4 linked regions of the Arabidopsis thaliana genome follow. The protein of the gene in region 1 interacts with the protein of each later gene in a pairwise test. Each region holds a gene or a part of one and is shown in the gene's direction. Other genes may lie near its edges.

What was found.
Region 2: the proteins of TIFY7 (region 1) and TCP3 interact in binary tests that used the Arabidopsis thaliana proteins (3 or more experiments, as listed by UniProt).
Region 3: the proteins of TIFY7 (region 1) and NAC094 interact in binary tests that used the Arabidopsis thaliana proteins (3 or more experiments, as listed by UniProt).
Region 4: the proteins of TIFY7 (region 1) and NINJA interact in binary tests that used the Arabidopsis thaliana proteins (3 or more experiments, as listed by UniProt).

Annotation. Positions count from the first base shown.
Region 1 is NC_003070.9:26,651,672-26,659,972, forward strand, and holds TIFY7 (TIFY domain/Divergent CCT motif family protein), read left to right. Parts: upstream 1-3,096; 5' UTR 3,097-3,279; coding exon 3,280-3,370; intron 3,371-3,578; coding exon 3,579-3,661; intron 3,662-4,155; coding exon 4,156-4,310; intron 4,311-4,398; coding exon 4,399-4,483; intron 4,484-4,566; coding exon 4,567-4,807; intron 4,808-4,902; coding exon 4,903-5,078; coding exon of another isoform or gene 5,079-5,133; 3' UTR 5,134-5,393; downstream 5,394-8,301. Other genes in the region: HWI1 (Receptor-like protein kinase-related family protein), read left to right, coding at 428-1,175, 1,475-1,606, 1,691-1,710; GH9B1 (glycosyl hydrolase 9B1), read right to left, coding at 7,685-8,017, 8,133-8,296. UniProt on the Arabidopsis thaliana protein: Repressor of jasmonate responses. Jasmonoyl-isoleucine (JA-Ile) specifically promotes COI1-TIFY7/JAZ9 interaction. Interacts with and suppresses RHD6 and RSL1 transcription factor activities to negatively regulate jasmonate-stimulated root hair development.
Region 2 is NC_003070.9:19,846,009-19,853,879, reverse strand, and holds TCP3 (TEOSINTE BRANCHED 1, cycloidea and PCF transcription factor 3), read left to right. Parts: upstream 1-2,154; 5' UTR 2,155-2,444; coding exon 2,445-3,620; 3' UTR 3,621-3,678; exon of another isoform or gene 3,679-3,679; intron 3,680-3,772; 3' UTR 3,773-4,092; downstream 4,093-7,871. Other genes in the region: AT1G53210 (sodium/calcium exchanger family protein / calcium-binding EF hand family protein), read right to left, coding at 6,347-6,595, 6,684-6,998, 7,097-7,373, 7,450-7,595, 7,715-7,871. UniProt on the Arabidopsis thaliana protein: Plays a pivotal role in the control of morphogenesis of shoot organs by negatively regulating the expression of boundary-specific genes such as CUC genes, probably through the induction of miRNA (e.g. miR164). Participates in ovule development.
Region 3 is NC_003076.8:15,936,134-15,943,331, reverse strand, and holds NAC094 (NAC domain containing protein 94), read left to right. Parts: upstream 1-2,741; 5' UTR 2,742-2,840; coding exon 2,841-3,039; intron 3,040-3,128; coding exon 3,129-3,469; intron 3,470-3,558; coding exon 3,559-4,032; 3' UTR 4,033-4,222; downstream 4,223-7,198. Other genes in the region: DEG8 (Trypsin family protein with PDZ domain-containing protein), read right to left, coding at 1-37, 316-449; AGL98 (AGAMOUS-like 98), read left to right, coding at 4,988-5,347, 5,425-6,054; AT5G39800 (Mitochondrial ribosomal protein L27), read right to left, coding at 6,396-6,464, 6,750-6,814.
Region 4 is NC_003075.7:14,259,852-14,268,672, reverse strand, and holds NINJA (Putative interactor of JAZ), read left to right. Parts: upstream 1-1,886; 5' UTR 1,887-2,137; intron 2,138-2,528; exon of another isoform or gene 2,529-2,567; 5' UTR 2,568-2,650; intron 2,651-2,915; 5' UTR 2,916-2,992; coding exon 2,993-3,884; intron 3,885-3,957; coding exon 3,958-4,343; 3' UTR 4,344-4,639; downstream 4,640-8,821. Other genes in the region: AT4G28920 (hypothetical protein (DUF626)), read left to right, coding at 31-258. UniProt on the Arabidopsis thaliana protein: Acts as a transcriptional repressor. Negative regulator of jasmonate responses. Connects the JAZ proteins and the non-JAZ protein TIFY8 with the TOPLESS corepressors.

The DNA of each region.
Region 1 (8,301 bases):
GGCAACTGGCAAGTAAGGGTAATTAGTAGTAACGGTAGAGGCTAACGAATTCACACGAGTCACTGTCAAAATAAAAAATTGAATTCAAATGACATGAGTAAGGATAGATTAACAAAAAGAAAGTTGTAATGGATAGACGCACATTGCCAAATTCCACATTATAGCTTTAAAAAAAAAAGTCTGAACGAAGAAAGAGTTGCAATTATTTAGTAATTTCAATGATATGGAACTTGCAAATTGTGGAAATTCTTAAGAACGTCCCCAACCAAAAACCAAAAAAAAAAAAACCAAAAGCATGCAACATGGAACCACATATAAGAGTACCCTTCTTTACGTCAATTATCTTTAAAGCAAGTCTTCGCTCTTCAATTTATATTTTACCAAATCATCTTCTCTCTTTCTCTATCTCTCAAAACAAAAAGTAACCATGATCAAGACAAAGACGACGTCCCTTCTCTGTTTCCTTCTCACAGCCGTTATACTAATGAACCCATCTTCCTCCTCCCCCACTGACAATTACATATACGCCGTTTGTTCTCCGGCTAAATTCTCCCCTAGCTCCGGCTACGAGACAAATCTTAACTCCCTCCTCTCTTCCTTCGTCACCTCAACCGCCCAAACCCGCTACGCCAACTTCACAGTTCCCACCGGGAAACCGGAACCAACCGTTACCGTATACGGTATTTACCAGTGCCGCGGCGACCTAGACCCAACCGCCTGCTCGACGTGCGTATCAAGCGCCGTCGCACAGGTCGGAGCCTTATGTTCAAACTCGTACTCCGGGTTCTTGCAGATGGAAAATTGTCTGATCCGTTACGACAACAAATCGTTCCTTGGGGTTCAAGACAAAACGTTGATCCTCAACAAATGTGGACAGCCGATGGAATTCAACGACCAGGATGCGTTGACCAAAGCTAGTGACGTCATCGGTTCTTTAGGTACCGGAGATGGATCTTACAGGACAGGTGGCAACGGGAATGTTCAGGGTGTGGCTCAGTGCTCCGGTGATCTAAGTACATCACAGTGCCAAGATTGCTTGTCTGATGCAATCGGACGGCTCAAATCTGATTGTGGAATGGCTCAGGGAGGATATGTTTACTTGTCGAAATGTTACGCGCGTTTCAGTGTTGGTGGTAGTCACGCGCGTCAGACCCCAGGCCCAAACTTTGGTCATGGTCAGTCTTCCTCTAAACTTATTTTAACTAAACTAGATAAAAAAATAAAAAGTCGTAATCACTAAAAAAAAAACCTTTTTACGTAACCTCAGATGAAAATTTAAATATTAGACTGATCTTAACAATTAGTCTAATGGTTTATATATTTGTGTACGACGCTAAATTTTTAAACCCATAAAATTGATAGTGTTGACCATAAATAAAAATATGAACATTATACTTGATGGAGAAAACAAATTTATTAAAAACTTTAGAGGTGGATGGATAGTTTTAAAATTATATATATATATATTTGGCAGAAGGAGAGAAGGGCAATAAGGATGATAATGGAGTGGGAAAAACATTGGCGATAATAATAGGAATCGTCACCTTAATCATCTTGCTCGTTGTGTTTCTCGCTTTTGTTGGAAAGTGTTGTAGAAAATTACAAGGTATTTTTGATATTGATTTACGTTTTTTTTTCAGTTCTTTTATCGATCATAAAATCTAAATTACTATGTATATGCCTTTTGCAGATGAGAAATGGTGTAAATGAAAGGACAAAGTGGGAAAGATATCAATCAACAACTCGAGTCGAGCCACACTGTTAGTTGTATTTTTGTAATTTTTTTTGTTCTCCCTCATAAGATGTACGTAGTTATAGTATATTGATAATTTGATATAGTATTGATATGATTGTATCTCCGAATCGATTTTTGTATAATTGTCGGACTTATATAGGCCAAAGCGATATCTTCTTCTTTGATGTGAATGAAACCTTCGATTTCTTATCTTCTATAAATGCCATGTTTTTCGTCTATGCAAAAAATAACAGTAATTAAAAGGGTTTGAGCTTCTTTTATCAATACACAAACAAGTTAAAATAAATGAACGTGTCGAGAATAATGGAACATATTAAACCGTAAATCAGGATGGAGATCCAAAAAATGATAACTGTGTTCGTCCTATTGCGAATGTCTGAACGAATCTTTTCATCGTATTCATCATTATTTATTCTCATATTGTCTAAAGAACTCAATTGAAGACTTGGCCTAATGTCCTTTAATCATTAAAAATGATAATTTAAAATTGTAAGCTGACTACCAAATCGTTTTAGGACTTTGAAAGACCAACTAACGTCTAATTCTTTTCCATATTTTTTTTAATTTTCTGAAATTCTTAATGTACTACCGATGATTGCTTCATAACCAGGTTCTTCTTTTAATTTGTACATGAGTAACATGACTAATAAATGACTTGCGTCTGTTTGAAACATTATATGAATAAGAAAAATTGGTCTCAAATAACAACATGATGTATCAAAGATTCAAAAATTTCACGTGTTATGAAATGAGCTTAGCAAAAGTTCACTCAAGTTCTTGGAGGTCTAGTTTGGAATGCAATTTAGCCAAATCTGTACAGTTATACTGAACAGATTTAATGTAAGTCGGGCCGTAAACAAAATTATGGGCCTTAGATAAGCAAATCAAACTTCTTTCAGCCCATTGAGCATTCTCGTGATTTGGTTATTGTATATCCAATACGTGACATTACTTTTGCCTCAACGAAAGAGTCTTGGCTTATCATTTCATTTATTATTATAGTTGAAATAATTTTCAAAGAAAAGAAAAAAATATGTGATAAATACCAAACCGTTGCATAAGAAAAGCAACCACACATTTTACATGTGTGTGTGAGTTCACGAAGAAAATATCCAATAGCCAAACTAATTAATCCACCTTTGAAAAAAAACATGCACTATTATAAACTAGAGCCACCGACGGTCGACGGATGTCTAATTGTATATGGTCCTCAGAAATGAAAAAATCAAAAGAATAAACACGTGTGAATTAACCGGTTTAACCAGTAGCACCAACCGTTTGTACCGGTCAGAAAAAAGCCCCACATGCTTTAATCAAGCAAGCCTTTAAAAACAGGAAAGGCAAAGAGTTAAATAAGCCTCTCCAAAAGTGTGTCTGTAACATTACCAAAACGAAACCTTCCTTGTGGATTCCCACTTCTTTCTTCTGTTTTCTTCTTCCTCTTCTTTAAATTGGATGTTTTGGGCAAGAAACAGAGAGAAACACGTTAATTTGAGAGTTTGTCATTGAATATTTGGTTTGCAATGGAAAGAGATTTTCTGGGTTTGAGCGACAAGCAGTATCTAAGTAATAACGTTAAGCATGAGGTTAACGATGATGCTGTCGAAGAACGAGGTTTGTGTTCTTGTCTCGAGAATCTTTTATTTTAATGTTTCAAGAAGAGATCAGTTTTCACTTTTAACATAGCCGTATAAAGTTGTTTATTTAAATATAATTTTTCAGATTCCAAAACTTGAAAAAAAAAAGATTCCATTAAATCTTTTATAAAAATGAGATTGGATAGATTAGTCAAATTGACGACCATAAAAAATGATACTTATAGGGTTAAGTACGAAGGCAGCTAGAGAATGGGGGAAGTCAAAGGTTTTTGCTACTTCAAGTTTCATGCCTTCTTCAGATTTCCAGGTTGGTTCATCTTAAAATTTAACTTACTCTGTATCAGTTTCAGATGTTATGGCTAATCTAATGGTTCTATAAGCTACCGCATAATCATGGTCGTCTTTTAGCATGTGCAAGAGGAGTACTCAATTATGGTCTTGATTAAAAAGAAGAATTTACTTTCAAATTATGTTAAACACATCAATCACATATTTATGAGAAAAGTTGTTTTCGTAAGAGATAGCCACCGGAAAATGGTCGGATAAATGGCCGAACTTTATCATTTTTGTGTATGTGGCCAATCATTAACCAGGGAAAAAAAATTGTTGGATAAGTGCTAGTTAAGAGCTGGTAGGGTCGGTCGTCTGCCAGCCGCAAAGTTAGGGAAAAAATAATTTAATATTTTGTGGCGTTTGGTGTTTGGCGTTTGGATCACGTTTATTTCTTGGCATTTTTCTAAATTTAGAATGTACAAAAAATTTAAAGACGTTGACGATTAAAATTTGAATTTAACAAATTAGGAGGCTAAGGCGTTTCCGGGTGCATACCAGTGGGGATCAGTTTCTGCGGCCAATGTTTTCCGCAGATGCCAATTTGGTGGTGCGTTTCAAAACGCGACGCCGCTTTTACTAGGCGGTTCAGTTCCTTTACCAACTCATCCTTCTCTTGTTCCACGGTAATTTCCATATTATGATGCAAAAACATTCAACAATTTTTTTGCTCTTTTCATATTTTGATTTGGTTATGTGGGTTTGTGGAAACAGAGTGGCTTCCTCCGGATCATCTCCTCAGCTCACAATCTTTTATGGCGGAACTATAAGCGTCTTTAATGACATATCTCCCGATAAGGTATATATAATCAAGATTCATACAAATAACATTTACATAACATTTACATGTTCTAAAACGGACTATTCATGATATGTGAGTAGGCTCAAGCCATCATGTTATGCGCCGGGAACGGTTTGAAAGGTGAAACTGGAGATAGCAAACCGGTTCGAGAAGCTGAAAGAATGTATGGAAAACAAATCCATAACACTGCTGCTACCTCATCAAGCTCTGCCACTCACACTGATAATTTCTCAAGGTGTAGGGACACACCCGTTGCTGCGACTAATGCAATGAGCATGATCGAATCATTCAATGCAGCTCCTCGTAACATGATTCCTTCAGGTATGTGTGTCTAATATCAACATCAAAACAAAATATAATCAAGATTTTTGCTTCCTCAAATCATATGTCTAAACTCGAAAATTGCTTTTTTCCAGTCCCTCAAGCTCGGAAAGCATCCTTGGCTCGGTTCTTGGAGAAGCGCAAAGAGAGGTTTGATTTTGTATTTTTTTTCTTTATAGAAAATTTTGAGGTTTTTCAATTGAATCTAAAAGAATTGATGTTGTTGGTGCAGGCTTATGAGTGCAATGCCATACAAGAAGATGCTTCTTGATTTGTCGACCGGAGAATCCAGTGGAATGAATTACTCTTCTACTTCTCCTACATAAAACCTACACTTTTTTTTTTTTTTTTTACAATGGTAATTTGTAATTGTAATCATTAGATTATGATTATATAGTTACCATTTATATTCTTACGAGCAGGAGAAGACGTTAGGGCGTCTCTGTATTTGATCATTGTTTGTAATGCTTTGGTCTGTTTATTGTAGGATTACATTATAACTTTAAGAACTAACAGATATATGTTTGTCATGGACTCATGTCTGTCAAGAATTTAATATCAAATAAAATTCACTATAATTTTTTTTTTGCTAATTTCACAAACACACTTCATTAACTAATTATATGAACACTTAATTGATTTATACCAAAATCATATTGAATGCATCGCTAAAGAGAATAGTACTAGTTTTGTATCGCCAGCTTTCGTTGTTAACAAGTCCACTTTACTATTATTCTCTCGAGTTTTTTTTTGGTATCAATGTAAAGAAAATAAGAAGGTGAAAATTCTCTTGAGGTTGATGATTGTGTAAAATACCTAAGATGATATATTACAAAAAATGATATGTTTTCAAAGGAAAATATTCATGTTTTAAATAGCTTTTTATGAAAGTCACGAGTTCAAAATTTGATGTTAAGGAGAATAAATACTACTAGTTTATGTGCTACAGTAAACAAAAAAAAAATTGTGAACCAAAAGAGCTCACATGTTGATTACGAAAACAGAGAGATTCTCTTCACAAGCGGAAAGATCTTATAGATATTATTATTTAGAGGCAGATAAATAATTGTAGGAAAGTAATAATGGTGAAGGAGATGCACATAAGCAAAAGTTTGGTGAGGAGGACAAAAAAGAGAGCTTAACCTCTAAATTCATCACCAAAAACACGTTCATATATATGAGTGGATAAGAACGATCGTCGTGGTCTTATCATTTTGCGTATCCTCTCTCTCGTGTATATGTTGTATCATCATTTACTCACTTGTCCTTTCATGCCCCCACCAAGTTGTGCAATTTGAACTACCACTACACAATTCAAAAGTACATTGTTGGGGCTAAGTTTAGTCCTTTTGTGTTTAGATTGTTTCATGAATTGATGGATTTATGATTCCCAACACTCATTTTGTGTTATCTCCTTCACTCTCCATTTCAATTAGTACTCTCTTTTACTTTATAAAATTAAACAAAACTTGTACTCTGCTTCACATTTTAACTCCTTTGCTTCTCTCTATCACTCGATATATAGCAACAATAAAGTGATTTAAAATCAATTGTGACATCAACATTTCTGGTACAAACCTCTATACTACATGTTCATACAAATTTTAATTAATAAATACAATTTTGATTTTGACTTTAATAGTTTCTATCACTTTACATTATTTTCATTTTTTTTTTTGAAGAAAGCCAAGGTCTCTTCTCTCTCATTTATCCATTGGTATAGAGAGAAACATAGCTTTCCCTAAAAACGTCTTCTTTTTGTTGACACAATTGTTTCCTTCATTAACGAAATATAAACCAAAACTTGTATTATCTCTAAGGTTTGTGTGACCATAAAATTGTTCTGAAGACAAGACAAGGTCCACAAGGACATGAATATCTGCGATAAACAATTTCACACAAATAATCCAAAAACATAAATGTCATACGTTTTAAACAAAATACATTTTTGAGATAAACCCTGAATTTGTTTCTTCCTTTTACGGTGTGTGGTTCGAAACGATGCAGTGCCATGCCGGGTCATAAGCAGAGACAAAGTCACGATTAGTACACATCTCACATTTTTCAGATCAACAAACATCAAATAAACAGATTAGAAGCTGAATTGTTTCAAGAGTTTCAGTGTTATACAATATCCTCTAAGAAACTTTATCAACAAGGATCACACAGCGCTAAGTAAAAAATTCCTAGAATTATCGAGTGAGCTATCCTCGGGTAACGTCGAACTTAAACAATAATACACGCGCACTAGGTCTCATAGGCAAAGACAACAAGATGAATCATAGTAAGCAAACGAACTCTTAGCTAACAAATTAATTTTCTTTTTCTATGGGCTTATTGGGCCGTCAACTGGACCATTTAATTTTACTAAGAAGGACAGAGATGAGGAAGTAGACCACCCCCATGAGGAAGGCCCAACAGAGATGAAATCATTATGAAGCTTGATTTGCAAAACTATAGATGGATATTTTAATTTTTAGTAGGAATCCAAACAAACAATAAACTTTTCACACAAAACCTATCATTGAGTTTTTTAGTTTTAACTGTTTTTGCTTTTGTTGAATTTGGTTCGATGATCTTTTTTTCTCTTTAAAATCAAACTTTGGTCTGATGATTATATCAACTTGTCTAGCGAGTATTAACTAGTCGTCTTGCAAACAAATAATTCAAGTAATTGACTGCAAATATAATAAGTTTAGACACCGACATAACTCTTTCTCTTCTTCACTAATTACGGGCTTACAATACAATTGGTTAAGTAGTAGAAAATAAAGAGTGGCAATAACATTAAAAAAGAAAAAAAAGGGTTTTAGGGTGGCCTAAAGTTTCCAGCACACCTCTAATAGGATAGAGAGTAATAAGTAATAAGGCCCTCCCTCATCGCCAAGTAGAATGGGCGGAGAAGTAACCGAGAAGGCCCACTAGTGGTGCATTGATATAAGTCGTGGGCTCAGACTGCTGAAAGTAAGGTCTTGAATCCGGAAAAGCATCAGTGACATTAGGTCCACCGACTACAGCACCAACCAAAAGGTTTGGGTTAGGATTTGGGCTTAGGAAATAGCGAGAGCCTTCTTTGCACCCTATGTGGCTTGGATGGGCTGAAACCGAAGGAACCGAGCTACCACGGTGATGAATCCTACGTGGAAACTTTTGACCGTATCCAACCATGTAAGACAGTCCCATCGGGTTGTCTCCGAGAATGTAATCCACCTGTTCACATATCACAAAAACAATAAGGCTTTGGTCCCAAAGAGCAAAACGGCTATGTATTTTGTTTTTGGTCTGAAATTTGGGACCAATGTTTTTTTTTTTTTTAATCTCTTACCTGACGCTTGGCGATTTGACGGAGGAGAGATGGGGAAGCAGTTAATTCGCCACAAGGCACAACCTTTTTGGCATGGCTCAGATAATTAGAGTAAGCCAATAGGAGGAAAGATAGTGATGTTACATGTTGCATGTTACTCCCTCCAGTCTTCACTAGTAGCCCTCCTGTG
Region 2 (7,871 bases), 6.8 Mb from region 1:
ATAGACTCATTAACTCTAACAATTACCGTTAGTGTTTTTGTGTATTGCCCTTTAAAACTGTTCATGTTAGAGGAAACACTATTTGACCATCTAACTCTTGTAAACAAATCAAATAATCAGTTTATGTAAAATTATAAAGACGAATAAAAATAAAATATTTTACTACAATTCCCCTGAAAATGACTTAATACAAACTAATCATTTTGAAAGGGAATGGAAGAATGAATTTATAACTTTTCACAGTGCTTTAATTTCTTTTATTACGGAAAAAAATAAGACAATGGAAATAAACGAAATAAAACTAGGAAATTGACAGAAAAAATTGTGTTTATTTCTTTATCGGAAAAACAAGTTGACAAAAATAAATGAAAGGAATAAATATTGGGGAAAATAACTTAAGAGAGAGAGATAAGAGGAAATGACTATGAGGGTGATGGGGAGTGTACTTACTGACACACATGCGATCGAAAAACACTAAAAGCCTATAGGGTATATTCGTAAATTTATTTAGACTACACTTGGTTGAGTAGGTGCAATGGGAAACATTTATTTGAAATTTGATTCCATCTTTGCCTTACATATCGATACGTCATCTTTTTATGTGTGCATTGTCATTATTTGATGATCAAGAATATGGTACCAAATACATTATATATCAGAAAAGTTCGTATGACTACGGGTATTTAATTAAAAATACAGTACATGCATGGTCGGTGTGTATAATGGAGAAGTAGTTAGAAAGAGAATTTGTGGTAATGACAAAAAAATGGAAAACAATAATTGATTGTGTCCTAAACCAGTGAACCGTGCGATATTTCGTGCCTTTAAATTTGATGTTGCATGTCGTAGAACGATGTTTTGATAATTTCTTCTCTTGGGAAGGTAAAAGAAAAAATTATGGATTCAATGCAGATTGGCTCGATGAGTAGGAAACGCACTTACAAAAAACATAAATCTCCTATCTACAATCACATATTTCTTCTTATATCTCTCTTGAAATCTCTACATGAATCACACCTAAAATGTTCATATTTAATCACATACCATACTTGTATTAGTATGTCAAATGCTCGGGATTTCCTTGTTAACAAAAAAGAAAAAAAAAACTGATTGAGTTACCAAATTACGTATATATACACATTTTTATCTTTGTTTAAAGGAAATTCAAGTTAATTTTAAACTAAAACTATGTACAAGTATGTATCTCTATTATTTTCGTTTTCCATCTGAAACTTTACTACGTTTGGTTAATTAAAAGTGGGATTGACGAACAGTGGAGTTCGAGAACAGATAGTGGAAAGGAGCATAGACAATGGTTGATTATAGGGATACTGTCGAATCCTACGGATACTGGTGATGCATTTTACAGGGTGTAACCTCTAAAACCAATACAATTTGATTCGATGAAAATAATACTTTATTTGTTTAAAATAATACCATCAATATTAGTTTATACCGCCCAATTATTAGTGTCTCCAACTCTCCAACAGATCTAAAAGCTTTACTTTTTAGTTTTTATTATAAAAGAAATCTTCTTGTATTGTCTTTTTTTCCAACAACCCAAAACCTTTACTACCTCAAAAGTTCTGTATTAATATTTTCTAACACAGTACAGAACAATCTTTGACTTGGTAAAATTTGGGTTTATTAGTGCTTATAGTTTCTATCATCTTTAACAAAAAAAAATAGTGGTAGTCAGAACCAAACCTAAGAGGACTATGTATATGTGTTGATATTCTTACAGTAACCTCTACCAAAATATATCCATTGTAATGTATATAGCTAATACAATTCGAAATGTCATGTAAAATATTTCCACATGATGAATCGGACAAAAGCTTTTTGTTTTTCATTTAGAAAAACCATAAAATATATAATATAAAATAAGAAAACACTTTAAAAATGAAATAAAAGCACAAGTGATGATGATGAGTATCAGAGAGCTCTTTTTATGACCAAACACACTCCTTCCATTACCATTTCCCTCTCTTCCCCAAACCCCAAAATCTCTTCCTTTTTTTACCGTTACTGTAAATTTTCCGGCCAGAAACAAAAAATTAAAAAGAGCTTTCCTGGATTCTCGTTTAGTCAATTCCACATCTCTCTATCTCTTCTCTCTCTTCTTGCTTCCTCTGTTTTTGCTTCTTGAATTCTCAGAAACAGAGACAAATTCTAAAAAAGAAACAATCTTTAGACAAAAGAAGAGAAATTTAGTCATGGGTTAGTCTGCAAAATTCAATTACGTCTTCTTCTTCTTCTTCTTCTTCATCTTTGATTTGTTGGCGTGTTTAGGGTTTGGGATTTGGAGGAGAGGCAAAATGTTGAATTAAATAAATCGAACGACTCTGGATTCCTCGGCGGTTAACGACCGCCGTCGCCGCCGCCGTCATAATCCAACCACCACCACCATCAACGACCTTGAATTTCCACAATATGCTTCATCAATGGCACCAGATAACGACCATTTCTTAGATTCTCCGTCGCCGCCTCTTCTAGAGATGAGACACCACCAATCAGCGACGGAGAACGGTGGTGGTTGCGGCGAGATTGTGGAGGTACAAGGAGGTCACATTGTTCGGTCAACAGGAAGAAAAGACAGACATAGTAAAGTATGTACAGCGAAAGGACCACGTGACCGGCGCGTGAGACTCTCAGCTCCGACGGCGATTCAATTCTACGATGTTCAAGATAGACTTGGTTTTGATCGACCAAGTAAAGCTGTTGATTGGCTTATTACTAAAGCTAAATCCGCCATTGATGATCTTGCTCAGCTTCCTCCTTGGAACCCCGCCGATACTCTTCGTCAACACGCCGCCGCTGCTGCTAACGCTAAACCCAGAAAAACCAAAACTTTAATTTCTCCGCCACCGCCACAACCGGAAGAAACAGAGCATCATCGAATCGGAGAAGAAGAAGATAACGAATCGAGTTTTCTTCCGGCGTCAATGGATTCTGATTCGATAGCTGACACTATAAAGTCGTTTTTTCCGGTAGCTTCAACGCAACAGAGCTATCATCATCAGCCACCGTCACGAGGCAATACACAGAACCAAGATCTTCTTCGTCTCTCGCTTCAATCTTTCCAAAATGGTCCACCTTTTCCTAATCAAACAGAACCTGCTCTGTTCTCCGGCCAGAGCAATAATCAGTTAGCGTTTGACTCATCGACGGCAAGCTGGGAACAGAGTCATCAGTCACCGGAATTTGGAAAGATACAGAGACTAGTGTCATGGAACAACGTCGGAGCAGCTGAATCCGCCGGAAGTACCGGAGGATTTGTGTTTGCTTCTCCGTCGTCGTTGCATCCAGTTTATAGCCAAAGTCAGCTTTTATCACAGAGGGGTCCCCTTCAGTCCATTAACACACCTATGATTCGTGCTTGGTTTGATCCTCACCATCATCATCATCATCATCAGCAGTCCATGACCACTGACGATCTCCACCATCATCATCCCTACCATATCCCTCCCGGGATTCACCAATCTGCTATTCCAGGCATTGCATTTGCTTCAAGTGGTGAATTCTCCGGTTTTCGTATACCAGCACGGTTTCAAGGCGAACAAGAGGAGCACGGCGGCGACAACAAGCCGTCCTCTGCTTCATCCGATTCTCGCCATTAAACAAGTTCCAAAAACACATAAGATTGTGCAACACAACAGGTTTCTTTTCATATTCCAGGTTTGAAGTTTTTCGAAAACAACACCCATTTGTGAAAGTCTTGTCTTTTAACCATTCATCAAATTGATAACTTACATTGTTTTTAACGTTTCAGGGCGCTTCGAATGCGTGGAATAGTGAAGGCGGTTTTCGTTGTTGTGTGTTTCGAATATCCAAATGGCCTATAAATCTGATCAACAGTTTCAGGTTCTTCTTAAGTCTTTAAAAGCCTAGGCCTTGGTTAATTTGAATTCATCTTGTATCAATTAGAGAACGTTCTGTAAGTTCAATTCTGTTTTACAATGTTTAGCTCTAGCTACATGAGCTCACATCTTGTTTGTTGTAACTTGTTCTACAATTACTTGTCCTTTATTTATGTTCTTGTGTTGGAAACCTTTAACCCCACTTGAAGCTAAAGTCTTTTGTTTGCCCTTTATTCCATGTGGGTTTAATGCTTTCCCCAAGAAATATCTCATTTTGTTTGCCAATCCCAAAGAGGAACAGTGCTCTATCCATCTACATCAATCATCATATTGTTTGGTTTAGCGTTTATTAGAAGTATTATCTTCCCAATCTCTGTGGTTATAAACTTTCTTTTGACTAGCAAATGGAATTTGAAACAATCATTTCTCTTGTGTTTCTTAGTCTCTTCTTTTGGCCCCATAGATGAAGAGTCACTTTCCATAGACAGGGTTTGCATGTGTTGCTTCTTTTGGAGTTTAGAGTTTAGAATTATGGGTTTCTTTTAAAATTTGTTTAGTGGATGCAAGCTCTGATACTTAGTAAGAGTTTTGGCCCATGATCCACGGATCCCTATATAAATATCAGAGAAATGGTTTTTGACTTCTTTTCATAGAATCTTCCTCAATACTAGATTTCAAGATTTTATGAAAAAGGAGCAAAAGAGAATTTGATGTCTAGTGTCAAATAACTGTCTACTTTAAACAAGAGTGTAGGAGATCCACCGAACTTGAGTGTGATGTAGTCTTTAATAAGTAAAAAAGAATAGGACATTAGATTAGTAGATGAAGACACTCTTGTTGGTCTAAATGAAGGAAGTTGAAAGCAGAGCAAGTCTCTTTCTTTTCAGATCAATAGTGTGAAGGTATGAATTTTTGTCCATAATTTGTCGATTTTTGGCTATAATATCTTTCGGAAAGAAAACTTTGGTTTCTTATGGAGAAGTTATATAAAGAAGCAACACTTTACATGAGATGGGATAAGATGAGATTGGAAGTAGTGGCTAGACATCCGAAAGTAAATTGCAGCATAAAAAAGAAAAAGACAGCCTGAATCATATCCATTCTACATTTTAAAATTCTGTTATCTTTTCTTCTTCTTTTGTTCCTTCCTTGTAACCTTCTTGTTCAAATGTATATGATTGATGTACATACAATAAATGTAGCTCATGATGAATCTGGTTATGTGAAAAGATCAATGAGGTAAAAGAAACCTCTATGATTTTGGGGGCATGACAGAAGAAAAAGGGAATGTTGAAGAAGACATGAATGATAATAATAAAAAAGGATAGCAAAGTGTAAGAAAAGGATGAAACCAAAATGGGAAAAAAGGTTGTCACCTTTAAAGAATGGTCCCCTCTCTCTATTTCTTTCTATCTCTTGTCAGATCTCAAGGTTACATACAGCTGTCTTACTTTTCTTTGATTTTTCTTCATTCTATTCCATAGCCAATGATAATTTTCCAAAAAAAGAAGAAAAGAGTCGCAAAATGGCTCAAAACTTGATTGTTGGATAGTGGTCTAAAACCATTATTGTTAGTTTGCATCTCTCTTCAGAGGATGAGGTTACAACAAAAAGTTTTAAAACCGGCTCTTTTGGTTATTAAGTAATGAGGTTACTACGTTTGATGTTGTTTGAGTTAACCGGTTTCATTTACTGAATGATAAGAAGCCAACCAAATTTGATCCAATTTTCCTTATTGACACTAAAAGTTTATGTTCCTTCAAACACCATCAAATTCTGGCAGGCATGAATTTTCTGATTTACATTTGGTTTAGCTTCATACACAAAATGATGATATCAAGAGTTAAGGACCGAACCAAAAAAAAGAAGTTAGAGCTCGTCTTTCAAAAGGTTCTCCGGATTCATATACAGTTTTTGGGTCTAAAAATGTTTGTAAATAAGAATTCTATCGAAAATAATAAAGACTCAAGTTTTGGTCCCGGCGGGGCTCGAACCCGCGACCTTCGGCTCATAAGACCAACGCTCTAACCAACTGAGCTACGGGACCTGACGATAACATTCTACGTTAGTACATAATGAATCAATTATTCATCGGCTTATGGTACAATTGGCATTACTTGCTAAGTAAGTGTCATAAGTTGGTTCGATCATTTTTTTTTCCCCGAAAAATTAATAAATTTCAATCTCTAAATATGATGATTACAACTTACAAGTAACTTTTTTGGTTCAATACAAAGAACATCCATAAGTAAAACTATAAAAGAGCAAGCAAAAATAAAGATGTAGGAGAAGACTAAATAGACAGAAGAAACAAGAAAGATATTACTGTATTAGCTTCAATAAGACTCTGTTTCCAATACACAAATCTCAGAATTTAAGTTTTTACACTCGAGAATCCATATATATATATATATGTAGAGAAGAAACGAAACCACGCGCGAAGACACTCACTCATTAGAACAAACTCTTTGAACAGAGAGTGATATCTACGACCAGCCAAACCAGTAATCAAGAATATAGACCAGACCCAAGGAGAATGGGTAAAGCAAGTAAGCTATGAAACATGTCCAAAGAGGATAAGTTGTGCGGAAACTCGCGAAACCGCCCATCACCAGACAAACGATGAGAATCACCAACACTTCTGATGAGAAGTTCCATGTCAGTCCTCGAACGTAGACGATTGCTAAGAACACCGAGAGACACAGAATGTTGTTCATTGTCACTCCACCACATAGCTGAAAACAAACAAACACCAAGAAACGGGTTTTAGTATAGGAAATATAATGGGACAGAAAGATATAAGACTTGTGAATATGGATGGACCTCGGAGAAAGTTAAAGAGGCGGTTCTGATCTTTTTGCGGGATGCGAAGATGATGGCAGACACGGCTTCACTTGAATTGGTGGCCAAAGGCAAAGCGATGAAGGAAATGAAGAAAGACGGAATCCCTGTGGCTGCGGAGAAGTTGTTAACAGTGTCGACTAAAGGATCAGCAAATGCAGCTGCAATGGCAGCTCCTAACAGTAGCAGCAGAGCTGCTTTAATGGTGATCCATTTTGGGTCTGCAACCTCACCGCCTTCCTCATCATTCTCACCATTCTCGTTATCTCCCAACAAAGCATGCTCTCTCTTTGTTTGCTGCAAAACAAGAAAAAGGATAAAACTAATTGCGTTAGATTCCAGATAAGTTTTGTGACCCAAGTCTGTTCAAATAAGGTTTCAACAGTCTTTCTAACCACATGGAAATTGTCAAGGAATTTCATTGTTCGAGGGCCAGCTTCAGGACCAGATGGAGCACCTCCCATTGCCTGGATAAGCCATTGCTTAATTCCACGGACAAACTCTTCTTGATCAACTTGCTCATCAAGAGTCTTATCAAAATCTTGGAGAACTTTTCCCACAGCATCATCCTTGTCAAAATCTATATCCTCAAAGCTGATCCCAATGATAAGCGCCTTTAGTTCAGCCGCTGACAAGTGTCCGTCATTGTTTGCATCAATTGTCAAAAACAACCTAATAAACAGATAAACTTGAGCACAAGGTGAAACCGAGTAAAGTGCATTCTCCATGTAAAGAATATATGACTTACTTTCGAATGACATGTTCATCAGGCTGACCTTCATCATCAAGAAGCCTTCCCAGAGCATGTTGTTTCAAGTGCCTTAGTATTCCTGATATAACATGCTTGTGTTTTGCAAAAGCAAGCCGTCTCCTTTGGATCCATGGTTGGAATACCTAGATATCATCATACAAGGAAGGATAATCTCACAAAACAAGATGGAGAAAGCAAAAAAAAAGGAAACAAGTCTAGTAAATATTTTTCAGAAACTTCTGTCCTGAAGATTTTATGTTACCTGATATACACAGTAAGAGATCAACATAAGAACTGAAAGGATTAGAGCAATCAACACGGACAATTGTCTTCCAGAGGTTGAGCCCAACATCTGCGGAAGCTGGACAATGACGAACGGAATAACTGATATAGCCATTATTCTTGCAGCATAGCTGGTC
Region 3 (7,198 bases), on another chromosome or scaffold:
TAACTCATGTAAATTCGACTTCCAATCTTGAGTAACCCTATCGAATAATCAAACAGTCAAAAAGTAACATAAACATCAAAATTCTCCAAGAAATCAACAAATCTTAATGTCTGATTCAAAATGAGAAGTTTCTCCAAAAGATTGTTCCAAAAGTTAAAAGCTTTACGGTGATTTTTCACTAACGTTGATTCACACATAACACCATTCTTAGTAACCTAAAGCCCATCAGGAAAAGACATAATCTTTGAGCAACCCAAATCAAAGGAACAAATTTTCAGCAAAATTTGGGGCAATGGAAGAAGCTAAAATGCTTACTTGACAGAAGAAACGGGTGGGTGTGAAACGACGTCGCCTTGAGAAATTTTGGAACAGACTGAAGAAAGAAGTTGTCGTCGACCAACAAATTCATTCTCATTAGGTTTCGAACAGAAAGATGCTATTACCTGCATCTTTCCAAAAAAAATCGAGAAAACTCTGAGACCAGTCGATTTGGCAAAAACCTGGATAAAATTAAGAATCTTAGATAATTTTTTGTGTAGCTTAGGAAGAAGAAGATACTTGAAATACCGAAATGCCCTCTCTAGTAATTTAGAAAATAAATGATTTATTTATTTTATATGTGTTATTTTGTTGTGAAAAAACCCAAAAAAGCAGATATTTATTTTTTTATTAAGAAATATTGCATTTTATACGCGAAATTTTAAAAAGTAATTATTTTAAATATGTGAACTTCGTATATGGCCATTTAATATATAAAAATACGTTGATCGGGCACCATTTCATACAAAATTATTTGTTGATCATGCCAAAATACACACGACGTTATCTACCGCTAACAGATCCGATAACATCCGTTAACTAGTCTCTTTTAGTTTCCAATACAACGTCGTTTCACCATAATCGAAATGAGAAAAATGTCATTTAATACTCCAACTTTCAAATTGTGACAGTTTTATACATCAACTTCACATGTGATTATTTTATACATAAATTAAACATTGACCAGCAGTTTGAAATATGAAAATGCGTTGAGCAGACCAGAAAAACATATCGCTATCTAGGCCTAGATATTCGGATTTTAGTTTGGATTCATAGGGAACAGCACTTCTATCGGGAAATGGGTGTCACGCCGCGATCCAAAAGTGTTAATCGAGAAGAACAGCAAATATGCATTGGGCTAAAGACGTCATTCAGTTTAGGTCCTAAGAGTGAATCAAACGATGTGAGGCCTGAGTGGAAGATGAAGGAATTATGCTTTTAAAAGTTTGAAACAAAAAGAAAACTGTAGGTTTGCTTCTTGATTTTCCAAATTCCTCTTCATTGTTGGACTCTTGTCTTACCATGTATACTTTGTTTTTTTGTTTAGGTGGACCACAATGTGATTGTCTTGTGCAAGGTCTCTTTCAAAAGTGTTATCAAGGTTTATGAAACATCTCCACTTCTTTATTTCAGGTTCACAATTTACTTTTTTTATCTCACTAAATTAAAATGTCTCCTTCAATTCTCTTTTCTAGGTTGAGCAGACCACTTTGGAGGAGCTATTAATCGAACCTTGCGAGCGAGTGTTGTACCAGCCGAGAGGCAAGTGTACCTCCATCATCCTCTTCCTTTGAGGACGACGAGCATGTCCGATACATGCTCCCTAGGGTTTAGTCTCGGAGATAGATGGTTTGATGTATCGGTTTTAAAGCACAAACCGTTCAAAGCATTAAAGCAAAAACTTGGATTTTCACAGCATTAATAGATATTCCAAGAGGATGGTTGTTGACAACTTTAATGTTTTACATATAAAGAGAAATAGAAAGCTTAGGTTAAAGGCTATTGACCAAACTTCCCAACTTGTGTTGCGTGGGTTAAAAAACCTAGGCCATTTTTTGGACTTCTCTCATCTTGAATTGTTTTTTGGTTCATCTTGTTTTTTTTTTTTTTTTTTACCACGAGATCTTCATTTCTATTCTACGTATACATTATGTTTTTACATGTCTCAAACTTGGAGACATATATAGCAACCTTAAGCAATGCCTTCGATTTTACCAATGCCTATATTGACTTACCATGGATTTTACTTTTCTTATATGTTACAATAATATATATAAAAGTATGAAACTATAAATAAATGTGGAAGAAGGAAGGAATAAATTAATTTTAGGGAATCGCGAATTTGAGATTTCATAATTTACGTAAAAGAACATTACTTTATTTACGGCTATAACTAAAACTACAACGACCCTTTGCTTAAGCACCACAACTTTCAAATATCAATCTTAATTTATAAGACTTTTACTTATAGACTTATAGATATAGAGATTGGATCCCATATAGATTCTACTCTAGAAAAACGTTTGACATTAGTCGGTCAAAGTCGTATCATCATTAAGTCATTAACCATATAGTTAGATTTTTTTTGGTAGAATGCATCTATAAGATATCGAAACAAAGGAAGAAAAACGTTTCCATATCATATTTTCCTAAAGATAAACCACATACGTAATGTAAGTATAACTTTTCCTATATTGTTCGACTCGTCCGTAGCCTCGATTTCACGAAGTACGCAATAACCTTGAAGTTTGAATCTTCTCATAAGAAAAATAATAATTTTAACGGCAAAATTCAAGATTCATAATATCTTTCTTGTATAAATCTCCTCTTATTCAAGAGACATTGGTCTTATACCTACGCATCACTTTCTGGTCCAATTATCGTTTCCCTATGAACCCATTTCTTCTTCTCTAAGAAACTTCTTCCTTCTTCCCCAAACTTACTCTCTCTATCTCTATAAATCTCTCTGTTTCTCTTCATCAAATTTTGGTATCCCAAAAGTACTAATTCTGTGTGTGTTAATGGTTCTAGTTATGGATGATGAAGAGAGTAACAACGTTGAAAGATATGACGACGTCGTATTGCCAGGGTTTAGGTTCCATCCCACTGATGAAGAACTCGTAAGTTTCTACTTGAAACGGAAGGTTTTACACAAATCTCTTCCCTTTGATCTCATCAAGAAAGTCGACATTTACAAATACGATCCATGGGACCTCCCAAGTAAGCCACAAAACTCTAACTTTTAATTCTCCAAATATATGGAAACAAAATATTTGATTATGCATTTTCTTAAATCAATGTTTAAAAAGAGCTTGCAGCGATGGGGGAAAAAGAGTGGTACTTTTATTGTCCTAGAGACAGGAAATACCGCAACAGCACAAGACCTAACCGAGTAACTGGAGGTGGCTTCTGGAAAGCAACCGGAACAGACCGGCCTATATACTCATTGGACTCCACTCGATGCATCGGTTTGAAGAAATCACTTGTGTTCTACCGTGGTCGAGCTGCTAAAGGAGTCAAAACCGATTGGATGATGCATGAATTTCGTCTCCCTTCTCTCTCTGACTCTCATCACTCATCATATCCCAATTACAATAACAAGAAGCAACACCTTAACAATAACAACAACAGCAAGGAGCTTCCTTCAAACGTAAGTTATCGGATTTGCCCTAACTTGCTTTACCCGCAACAAAGGTTAGGTTACCAAACAAATTAGAATCGATCTTTTTCATTTTGTAGGATGCTTGGGCGATATGTAGAATATTTAAGAAGACAAATGCAGTATCCTCACAAAGATCAATCCCACAATCTTGGGTTTATCCAACGATTCCTGACAACAATCAACAGTCACACAACAACACCGCAACTCTCTTAGCTTCATCAGACGTTCTCAGCCACATATCAACAAGACAAAACTTTATTCCTTCTCCAGTCAACGAACCCGCAAGCTTCACAGAATCAGCTGCTTCTTACTTCGCGTCTCAGATGCTCGGAGTCACGTACAATACAGCCAGAAACAACGGAACAGGGGATGCTCTGTTTCTGAGAAACAATGGAACAGGGGATGCTCTGGTTCTGAGCAACAATGAGAATAACTACTTCAACAACTTGACTGGAGGGTTGACTCATGAGGTTCCGAATGTAAGATCAATGGTGATGGAGGAGACTACGGGGAGTGAGATGTCGGCGACGTCGTATTCCACTAACAATTAAGATCATAGTACTATTAACACTTGAATTAGTGTAGACGTTGATCATCGCTAATATGTATTAATTTTTCTTGTCTTACTATAAACGTTGCTTCTCTTTTGGTTTCTTGAAGGCCGAAAAGAAAAAGAAAAAAACAAAGACTTGCTTCGAACATGCAACTTCTCCTTAATTTGGTATAGATAATTGTAATGGCTTTTTATATTAATCATTAAGTCTCATTCTTGAATGACACTAGTTTTTTTGGATTTTTCAGAGCCATATTTCATATTCTTTATGAAGAGGATACAATGCTTTCTTTTTTTTTTTTGAAAATAAGTAAAGAAAATATGAATTTGCAAAATCTTTTATTTATGTCAATAATGGCAAAGTAATGGATTAAAAAGGTACACGGAGTTATAAATTATATTTCTCATTTTTTAATGGAGGGTTCTAAATTTTATTTAAAATGGATGTATTTTGGTCGATTTTTGTTAGATTGTATTGTCACAAATTTTTAGCAAATCCAATAATTATATTATTAATTAAGAGCTATTTACATAATGATACAAAGGGTATCTGAAATATATATGGACAAGCAAATCTTTCTTTTTTATAGATCTTATTAATTAAAAGAGAGTGAGAGTAGAAAAAAAAAACTATTTCCTTTTTATCAGTCCTTAACGGCTAAATTACACAAATCTATGCAAAAGATATGGAAATCAAATCTTCACAAGCTTTGTTTTACCGATTAGAAGAGTGAAAAAAAAATAAAAAATCTAACTTTAAGGACCAAATTTTCTATAAGTATATCGCTATTTCACAAAGTTGTCTCTGACTTTCATATTCTTCATCATCTTCTTAGGGTTTCCTAAACCTAATTCGTAGTTTCACTCTCTCAATTTCATTCGTCTTCGTGCTTTCTCTTCACTTTGAACGTGAAACAAAAAATAGAGAGATTGTCTTCGAAATCAACAAGAAGATGGCCATTCGATCTTTACCTTCTTCCTCAGGCTGTTCCAATTCCTCTTCGTCTTCTTCTTATTCACTCGCTTCAACAAGTTTGAGCAATAGACTTGAGACCATCTTCAGGAAAGCTTCAGAGCTTTGCACTCTCTGTGATATCGAAGCATGCGTCATCTATTACGGACCAGACGGAGAACTCAAGACATGGCCTCCGGAGCGAGAGAAAGTGGAAGACATTGCTCTCAGGTATAGTCAACTAAACGAAGCCTTGAGACGCAAGAAGAGCGTTACTCTTTATGACTTCCTGAACAAGAAGAAGAACAAGACGAACTTGGAGAAGAAAGCAAAGATAAAGGACAACGACTTGAAAAGACTTGTCTGAAGAACGTGAATGTTTTAAAGTATCCAATTGCTGATCATTACTCTCCTGACCAAATTTCTCAACTGATTCAGTCCTTAGAACCTCATGTCTCTAAAGTCCGAGAAAGGATTCGTTTTGTTGAGTCGCAGAAACATAAGGAGACAAAACCGGATCATCAGAGTTTAGCATCATCCTCTCTGAATAATCAGACCCAATCTTTGAACCCTAGCCAGTTTTCGCTGTTTATGTATAACCATGGAGATAATATTCTGTCTCAGATCCCAGTCTCTGCATCAAATTTCAATCAGGATTATTTCTCAGCGTTACTTGAACAATCTGAGTTGAAGAGTCAGATAATGAAGCAGGAGGTTTGTGGTTATGAGCAGAACATGTGCATGAGTAACAATGGAGATGCTACGCTCTCTCAAATCCCACTCTCTGCATCAAATTTCAATCAAGAGTTCTCAGCCTTACTACAAGAAGAATCTGGCTTGATGCAACAGGAGCTTTGTAATTATGATCAGAACATGTTTATGAACAACAACAACTTCCAACATTCTTTTGTCTCAAACACACAAGATCACTCTGCTCCTGCGGTACAAGAATCTGTGAACAACAACTATGGGTTGATGCCGCATGTTCCTTGTGGTTATGATCAGAACCTGTTTACGAGTGATATTACCAACAACAACCTTCTTATCGACAACTCGATGTTTCTCTGATAACAAAGCTCATTCAAGAGAGTGTGAGACTGTTTTTTCATCTTCTCGTAAGAATTTTAATATGTTGTTGATGTTTATTTTGCTAAGTATTGCATAACGCATAATGTTTTCTTGTATCAAGCTATTTTACTATGTGAACATCCAATTTATCAAGTGAATATATATTCCACTGCATAAACATGTTACCAATTACTTTGCATATCGTTTCGTGAAAATATCAAACCAAATCTCCCATTTTAAGAATAGCACATAAGGATTACGGACAATAGAAGAACATAATCATAACTTAAAGCTTTATGAAGAAGACTTAAAAACATATATATCTTCTGACTGACTATTTTTCACTTGGAAGCTTCAGTTGACTCGTTTGTGTTGACTTGTATCGGGCATTGAGATACATATGGTTTCAGCTGTAAAATCCAAATAGATATACATCAGCAGAGCAGCTAAATCACACAACAAAGGTTAATGTAATTAAGTAAGCATTCCCATTTCAGGTCCCTAACTCAAAAACCTTACAACAAGAACAAACCAAGATAATTATCAGGATGAACCTAAGGAGATTCTACCAACAAGACTTGTAAGAAGATTTCTCACTAATGTTTGGTTCTCAAGTTTCAATTAAGATGCAAGGTACATACTAGAAGTATCAAAGATAAAAGGAACATAAGAGTTTAGAGGGTGAAATGAAAAACCTTAAAGCCGGTGAGATCAGGGACTACGTAATTCGGCAACTTATCTGGCTGCACAACATATCCTCCTGCAAAAACACCATGTCATAAAACTTAGGTAAAGATAAAATGAAGTCTCGAAAACAAATGCAAAATACATATACAATATGATGATCAGTTTTTTTTGCCAAAATGAAGTCTAGAAACAAATACAAAAACAGTATACTACACATGTACAATTCGAGTTAAGCTACCACATTTATTTGAGTGGAAAGCTAACTTCTTTAACTCAATTTTGGCAATTATGAATCTAGTAACACATGCAACCGATGATCAGTTCTTTGCCAAAATAGAGTTAAAGTTGTTAGCTTTCCTCCTAAACAACAATCTGGTATCTAAAGCTTTGCCTTAGATTTCATATATCTAATAAAAACACTCAATTATCAAAAACATTATGATGATCATCAATTGAG
Region 4 (8,821 bases), on another chromosome or scaffold:
CCATTAAAGATCAAGTATGTAATTGTACAGACTCGGAAGAGCTGTGAAGAGTCGCCGCACTTGAAGCTCAAGGCCAACAACGCTATCTTCTACATGGGTTTCAAGGGCAGTGGTGATCATCATCCGAGTGGTAAGCATGTCGAGTACCAAACAATAGTACGGAAAGCCATGGATGGAAAACCGGGACACATTCGTCTAGAAGTTGACTCTTGGCAAGCCATACCAAGCGATTTAATTGGGGAGGATGAACCGCCCTAGAGTAAACCTGAACCGGAATGCTCATCCTCTGCTGCTCAATAAAAAGTTACCGTAGGGTTGACTTCAAGTCCTTTGATGACGACTATACTGTGAATCTGTGATTACTTGTTCTCAATGCAATAACTACAAGTCTCTTCTTCTTCCTCTTTTTAAAGCTTGTCTTCTACTTGTGATTACTTGTTCTGAATATTGTGATATCAATCAAGACAAGTATGAAATCACCAAGAGCTCTAAGAATATATTTTTTTCTATCATTTTATTCCTTGGATTTTTGAAGAGTAACAAAACATATATGATTTTCATGAGAAGTTGAAGCTGAGAGAATAATATTTAGAGTTGTATTATCGTGAATTGTTGGTAACGATGATGGAGGCTCCTGGGACTAGGGTTGGGAGATGGGAGTTCACTTCTATTGAGAGCAAGTCGGTGAGGAGGAGTTTCTTTGAAACAATGTGATAGGCGGCGGCGATTTTGTATGTGGGAGACGGTGAGGGGTCTTCTTCACCGTCTCACGGTGGATAGCCACAACATCATCAACGTAGACATTAGGTTGAAAAATTCGACATCTTATGGTATTTAATATGACGATTAAAAAGAGAGAAACAAGTCTATTTATCCTTTGAATTGTTAATGATCCTTTTTAATTTATTTTTCAAACTTATAAAACTATGAATAATAGCATCAGAAATAATAAAAAAAAAACCATGTAACTTTATTGCTTATGAGTCAATCAAAGTATATATTTATTCATGTTGTAGCTTTTCAATATTATTAACCATGTTTGTTTTCATTATTTTATTTTTACATAAGTAACATATTTTCATGCCATTAAAATTTTACAACATAAGATAATTTTATTTTATAATATTCAAATTTCCAATTTCCAATTTCCTCTTTAGTCTTAAGTCTTAACATGTCAATTTTTGTATTAAAAAAAAAACATGTCAATTTTTTGTACAAAAAAAATAAAACCATGTCAATTTAGGAGGAAAAAAAACTGGAAAAGCCTGACAAAGAAAAAAAAGCTGGAAATATCAAAAATAAAATGATAACGTCGCCTGAGAGATTCGAACTCTCGCGGGGAAACCCCATGTACTTAGCAGGCACACGCCTTAACCACTCGGCCAAAGCGACTTTATTGATCATGAATCAATCTAAAATATATATATATATAAACCTATCGTTTTGAATTTTTTTTTTTGGCAAACAGCTTTTGATACTATTATATATATATATATATATATTATCCCCACATATCTTTAGCTATGTCTTTTTCGAAGGAAATTTTGAAGTATTAAATTAAGTGACGATTTACACACATATGGAGTAATTAAATCGTTTTAGCATATCTTGTAATGTTGTCTCTCTTATCCAACTATTCTAAAGAAAGTGGTGACTAGAAAATATAGATTATATACTATGTGACCAACTTTTTAGTATATCTTTATAAAAACGCATAAGATATGTCATATGTGTTTCCTCTAAAACTTGTTAAAGAAATGAAAAATCTGTTGGTAGATGTGAATAGTTATGGACTAGTTTGGCTTTAAAAAGAAAATTGGGCCCATGTATTTCTATTCATGCATTGGACATGTACAATGTACAAATATATTCATGATTGCAAACATGTAGTATATATGCTGACTATACGATTGTTATTTATTCAAAAGTTAAGAAAATGCACAAGATACACATGGACGAAATCGAAACTAATTGTACAATAAAATAATAATTATTAGTATTACGAAGGGAAAAGGGAAATGGTCCGTACTAGTTGTCCGAACCCGAAGAAGCCCCAATCGCTGATGCAACTGTCTAGGAGCCGCCACGCTGCGAAGAAGCTCTAGGGTTTGTTCGTCTTCTTCCTCGGTTTCATCAGGTTTTCATCTTCTCGATTCTGATTTCGGCTTCTGTTTTAGCTTTATTCGGCTTATTGTGATTTAATTTGAGCTGATTTGGCATTATTGCTGTGTAGTTAGGGGTCAGGGTTTTAATCTGATCGCGTCTAGGTTATGATTCTTTTGATGATTTCGATCTTTAGAAAGTCAATTGATTTGTTTCTTCGTATGTAGCTCGTTTAGCTGACAGATCTGCATAGTGTCTTATCAGTTACTAGATCTTTGTGCTATCTCTCACTCTGATTTCTGGATTTTGATTCCTTTTTTTTTTTTGTTAGCTGACATACAAGTGTGAGTGATGTGTGTCTTTGCTTTGTTTCCATTTTAGTTTAGTTTCTCAAAATGGAAATGATGAATATTGGGGGTTTTCAGAACCTAAGTTGTAGAAATGGTCTTTTTTTGTTATCACAGAACTCAAAAGGTACTTGGTAGGAGCGAGAAGAAAGTTTCTGGAGAATTGCTGAATTGTTTCTTTCAATGGTTTTGTTTCTAAGGTACTATCCGAGTCCAATGTTTCTGAGAGTTCTGGTAGCTTGTTAATTTGTTATACTGAATACTAGGATTGATTTTGGCAAAGCATGTGATGTTTGTTGCAAGTTCAAGCAGATGTGTTTCTTTTTATAAATTTAGAAGAAGTTTACTTCCGCAGCCATCTATGATTCTCAAAGTTCTTAGCTTTGCGTTTGATTCTTTTTTCTAGAAACCATTGGTTAGCTTTGGATAATGAGTCCTTTTCTGCCCATGATGTATTTTTCTCAGATGGTAATCAAGATTGTTGACGGTGCTCTGAAGATCTGTTGACCTGCTCAGAGTTTGCTTAAAAAGTTTGAGAAAAAATGGACGATGATAATGGGCTCGAGCTCAGCTTGGGTCTTTCTTGTGGAGGATCAACAGGAAAAGCTAAGGGTAACAATAATAATAATGCTGGAAGCTCCTCAGAGAACTACAGGGCAGAAGGAGGCGATAGAAGTGCTAAAGTGATTGATGACTTTAAGAACTTCCTGCATCCAACTTCTCAAAGACCTGCAGAGCCGAGTTCTGGTTCTCAGAGAAGTGATTCGGGTCAACAGCCTCCACAAAATTTCTTCAATGACCTCTCAAAAGCTCCTACAACTGAGGCTGAAGCTTCTACGAAACCTTTGTGGGTGGAGGATGAGTCACGGAAAGAAGCAGGGAACAAAAGAAAGTTCGGGTTCCCGGGGATGAATGATGATAAGAAAAAAGAGAAGGACTCGTCTCATGTTGATATGCATGAGAAGAAGACAAAAGCATCCCATGTTTCAACTGCGACAGATGAAGGATCAACAGCTGAAAACGAAGATGTAGCAGAGTCTGAAGTAGGTGGTGGTTCTTCTTCCAACCACGCAAAGGAGGTGGTTCGTCCTCCTACTGATACAAACATTGTGGACAACTTAACTGGTCAAAGGAGGAGCAACCATGGTGGATCTGGCACTGAAGAGTTTACAATGCGCAACATGAGTTACACCGTACCTTTCACAGTTCATCCGCAAAATGTCGTCACTAGTATGCCTTACTCTTTACCGACAAAAGAGTCTGGACAACACGCAGCAGCTACAAGTCTATTGCAGCCTAATGCTAATGCTGGAAATCTCCCGATTATGTTCGGATACTCACCAGTCCAGCTCCCTATGCTAGATAAGGACGGTTCAGGAGGGATTGTCGCACTTTCTCAATCTCCATTTGCTGGAAGAGTTCCATCAAACTCAGGTAAGCAAAACCTTCCCTTAAAACACGATTTAGTACTCTTACAGCAAAAATAGTAACTTTTCCTTCCAAAAAGCTACTGCAAAAGGCGAAGGCAAACAACCTGTTGCAGAAGAAGGTTCATCCGAGGATGCATCAGAACGACCAACGGGAGACAACAGCAACCTCAATACCGCTTTCTCTTTCGACTTTTCTGCCATAAAACCTGGAATGGCAGCAGATGTGAAGTTTGGAGGATCCGGGGCACGTCCCAACTTACCGTGGGTCTCAACCACTGGTTCAGGCCCACACGGACGGACAATCTCAGGTGTCACATACCGGTACAACGCAAACCAGATCAAAATCGTATGCGCTTGCCACGGCTCGCACATGTCACCGGAGGAGTTTGTACGGCACGCAAGCGAGGAGTACGTTAGCCCAGAATCATCCATGGGAATGACTGCAGCGTCAGCTCACACCTGAAAAGTCACCACCGGAAAAAAAGATGTCTGAAATCTTGTAAACAAATGGAAGGGTTTGTAATGAGTTTCTTTTTGGAACATACATTTTATTATGTTTAGTCGGATCAAACTCTCAAGCCAAAGTTTTTTAACTGAGCTTTCTGTTATGTTGTTGTAATCTCTCTACTTCATCACAATTCCTTATGTAATCCTCTTCTTTCCTTTTTGTTTTTTGGTTGAAAGGAAATTATATATAACCATAACATTATCGGTGTCCTTTGTTCCTTTGGTTAAAATCTAAACAACTATTTTGGTAAAATAATTCACTTTGATTTTGACTACTATGTAACGACAGCAAAACCTTCAATTATGTAATGTCATGTCAAAACCTGATACCATTGATACGGTTGGTTGTACAGAAAACCTGCAAGAATAATGTCAAACTCTTACTTAATAGTTAATAAATTGATAATGTTGTGGTTAAATTCTATAACAAAGAAGTAATTGAAAGACTAAAATAGTGAAAGTATTGATAAAACGATGATGAAGAGAAATCTCTTTATTGAATATTTCAGCTTAAGGTTTACAATGACAGAGAAGGGTTTATATATGAACCCCAAAATGGTGAGACACTAGGTCACACGTCATTAGCTGCACATCACGACAGAGGAACAAAGAGGATCAAATTTGTTATGAAGGGACAAATGATTAGCTGTGAATCCCGTACGTTGATGCGCTGGAAATTGAGGAATCTTGTTACCGTTGCAAGGTAGAGAAGACTTGAGGTTGATGGGCTTGACACTTTGACTGAGGCCCAAAGTATTGTTGAGTGTTGCAGGTCCATTCGCAGAAAGCAAAGCTTCTGATTGTAGAGGAGGTTCTCTCTGATTCACACACCCCCTCAAACTTGGTGTGGGAGGTAAAACAACGCCAAGTTTGTACCTTAAGTCAAAGAATGGACGTTGGGGAAGAGACTTGGTGAAGATGTCTGCAAGTTGATGAGAAGCAGGGACATGTTTGACAACCAAAGCTCCCAAGGCAACACGTTCTCGAACATAGTGAAAATCAACATCAAAGGCCTTAGACCGGTTGTGCATTGCTGGATTTGCAGTGAGGTAGACAGCAGAGAGGTTGTCACAGTACAACTCCGGTGGTGCAGGTTGATAGATGCCTATTTCACGAAGCAAAGATGAGATCCACTTCACTTCTGTAGCTGCGATAGAGAGGGTCCTATACTCAGCTTCTGTTGAGGACCTTGAGACTGTTGGATGACGTTTTGCAGACCAACTGATTATGTTAGTGCCAAGAAAAGTGCAGAAACCACCAACAGATCTTCTAGTCTCTTTGCAGTTTGCCCAGTCACTATCACTATAAGCACGCAAAGTGATATCCGTGTTGTTGTGTAAGTTGAGACCCATTTGAACTTTTCCTTTGAGATAGCGTAAGACTCTTTTGAGGAGATTGAAATCAGCAACTGTGGGGGAATGCATCTTTTGACACACAAGATTGACTGCAAATTGAATGTCAGGACGAGTAAGAGTAAGATATTGTAACTTACCAGCCAAGCTCCGAAAATAAGTAGGATCAGCAAAGCTTTCTTGTTGACCAGGAACTTTATCCAATTGAAGAGGCAAAGGGGTTGGCATTGGGGCACAATCTGCCATTCCTGCTGCAACAAGGAGATCCATAGCATATTTCTCTTGATGCAAGAACAACCCTTCTCAGTGAAAATGAGCCTGAATTCCGAGAAAGTAATGCAGCATTCCCATGTCTTTCATGCGGACTCTTTATTCAGAGAGACAAGCAGTGTGTCCAACAGTTCACTATTGTTGCCTGTGAGAAGCATGTCGTCCATATAGAGCAAGAGGAACATGAGATCTCTTCCTTTCAGAAACACAAACAGAGAAGGATCTGAATAGGTACAGATGAAACCAAACTCCAAGAGAAAAGTACTGAACTTGTCAAACCAAGCTCTCGGAGCTTGTTTAAGACCATAAATGGCTTTGTTGAGCTTGCACACATAATCAGGTCTGTCTTGATTTTCAAAACCTGGAGGTTGGTACATGTACACAGTCTCTTTCAAATCACCATGTAAAAAGGCATTTTTAACATCAAGTTGCTTGATTTCCCACTTGTTAATGGTTGCAACATGTAAGATTGTTCTCACTGTGGCTGTGCGAACCACTGGACTATAAGTCTCCATGTAATCAACTCCTTCTTCTTGTTCATAGCCCTTAGCAACAAGACGAGCCTTTAATCTATCAAGAGTTCCATCAGCCTTTAGCTTCGTTTTGAAAACCCACCTGCAGCCTAAAGGAGTAATGAACGAGTCAGGTGGAACCAAATCCCAAGTATGTGTTTCTTCAAAAGAGTCATACTCTTCACCCATTGCATCAGTCCATCCAGGGTCTTTAAGAGCTGTTTTGACTGTCTTTGGTACAGGGTAGTTACTCTTTACTGTAAACATAGCATATTTGGGATTTGGCTTGAAAATGCCTGATTTAGACCTTGTTATCATAGGATGACTTTGATCATTAGTGTTGTCAGCAGCTTCTGTTTCTGTTGTAGCTTCACTGAACACTGAACTTTCTGAATTTTCTGAATTTTCACTCAACTCTGAGTCTTCTGCATCATTTCCTGAACCTGCAGAAGAGATAGGAGTTTCTGGTTGTGGTGAATTCTGCTGAGTAACTGGAGAAGAAGGGAGACTGTTGCCTATAGGAACAGAATCTAAGTCCGCCGTACACCCACAACCTCCTCCTCCAACAGCACCAGAGAATTCACCTTGTTCATCACTGAAAGAAGCTGCAGTATTAGAGATATCCAAGACTTCTGGAGTTGCAGGAATACTCTTCGGGAGAAAGTTGCTTTGCCAAGCTGAGACTAAAGTTGAGTTTGTACCTGAAACTTTGTCACTATAGATATCTGAAAAAAGGAATTTGGATTCATCAAATAGAACATGTCTGTTGATATATATCTTCCCTGTAGGCGGATGAAAACACTTGTATCCCTTGTACTTCTCATTATAACCTGTGAAAACACATAGTAACGATTTAGGATCAAACTTGTTACTTGCATAAGGTCTGAGATTAGGATAGCAGGCACATCCAAAAACTCGAAGAGAAGTGTAGACTGGAGCCTTTCCCATAAGAACTTCATATGGACTTTTCTGATCTTTGAGAACTGAGGATGGAAGAAGGTTGCACAGGAAATTTGAAGTGTAAAAAGCTTCTACCCACAAAAACTGAGGAACTTTGCCTTGAAACATCATTGACGAACCAAGTTCTGTAATGTGACGATGTTTTCTTTCAGCAATACCATTTTGTTGAGGAGTGTAGGGACATGAGATCAACTGTCTGATTCCACACTCTGCAAGATGAGAAACAAACTGATTGCTGATAAACTCACCCCCTCCATCACACTGAAAACTAGCAATCTTTTGTTGACACTGATTCTCAACCATCTTTTGAAACGTGAGAAAGACAGAGAAGAAATCTGATTTGAGGCGCAATGGATAAAACCAAGTGAATCTTGAGTAATTGTCAATAAAGATTACATAATATCGAAAACCTTGAGAAGAAACAACTGGTGCAGGACCCCATAAGTCACAGTGGACACGTTCTAGGAGTCTGCTTGAAACAAAATCTGAAGAAGCAAAAGGAAGCTTGCAAATCTTTCCCATTTGGCAAGCATCACACAAACTGTGACTTGTTTTACTTATAACTATGGCTTTATTTCTTAAAAGTTGTTGGAGAACATCTTGATTAGGGTGACCTAGCCTCATATGCCACACCTCATCACTTGTAGCTTGTTGTCTGGAAGAGTAGCAAGCCATGAACTTCGGATTCTCCAACAGGTACAAATCATTATGGCGGGTTCCTTTCGTGAGGAGCTGTTTTGTCAGCTTGTCCTTAACAATCACACCATCAGAGTCAAACTCAATCACACAAGGATAATCTGAGGTAAGCTTAGACACAGATAAAAGAGACTTAGTGATATTAGGACAAACAAGAACATCTCTTAGTGGCAGATTACCTTGGTTGCTTGTCAGAACTGCTGAACCAATGTGAGTTATGGGGAGAAAGTCACTGTTGCCAACAATAACTGAATCTTCTCCACTGTAAGGTTGAGCAGACTGAAGCTGAGAAGTAGAGTTCGTGATGTGTGAAGTAGCGCCTGAGTCAGTCACCCAAGGATTGGATTTCTGATCAGAGACACGCATTGCAGCAAAGGCTTTACTGAAGTCTTCACTCTGAAAAGCATGATCAAAACGCTTCCAACACTTATAAGCAGAATGACCATACTTGTTGCAGATCTGACAGGTAGGTCTTGTTCCTGAGTCAGAGGGAGAGCCACTTGAGATTTGTTGAGGGAAACCTCTCCCTTTAGTGGTGTAGTTGTTGCGACCTCGATTTCCACCAGATTGACCACTTTGAGTAGTTTGATTCAGTAGCATAAGCCAAGTGAGGAGAAACATTAGGAACCTCTGCATACTTTTGC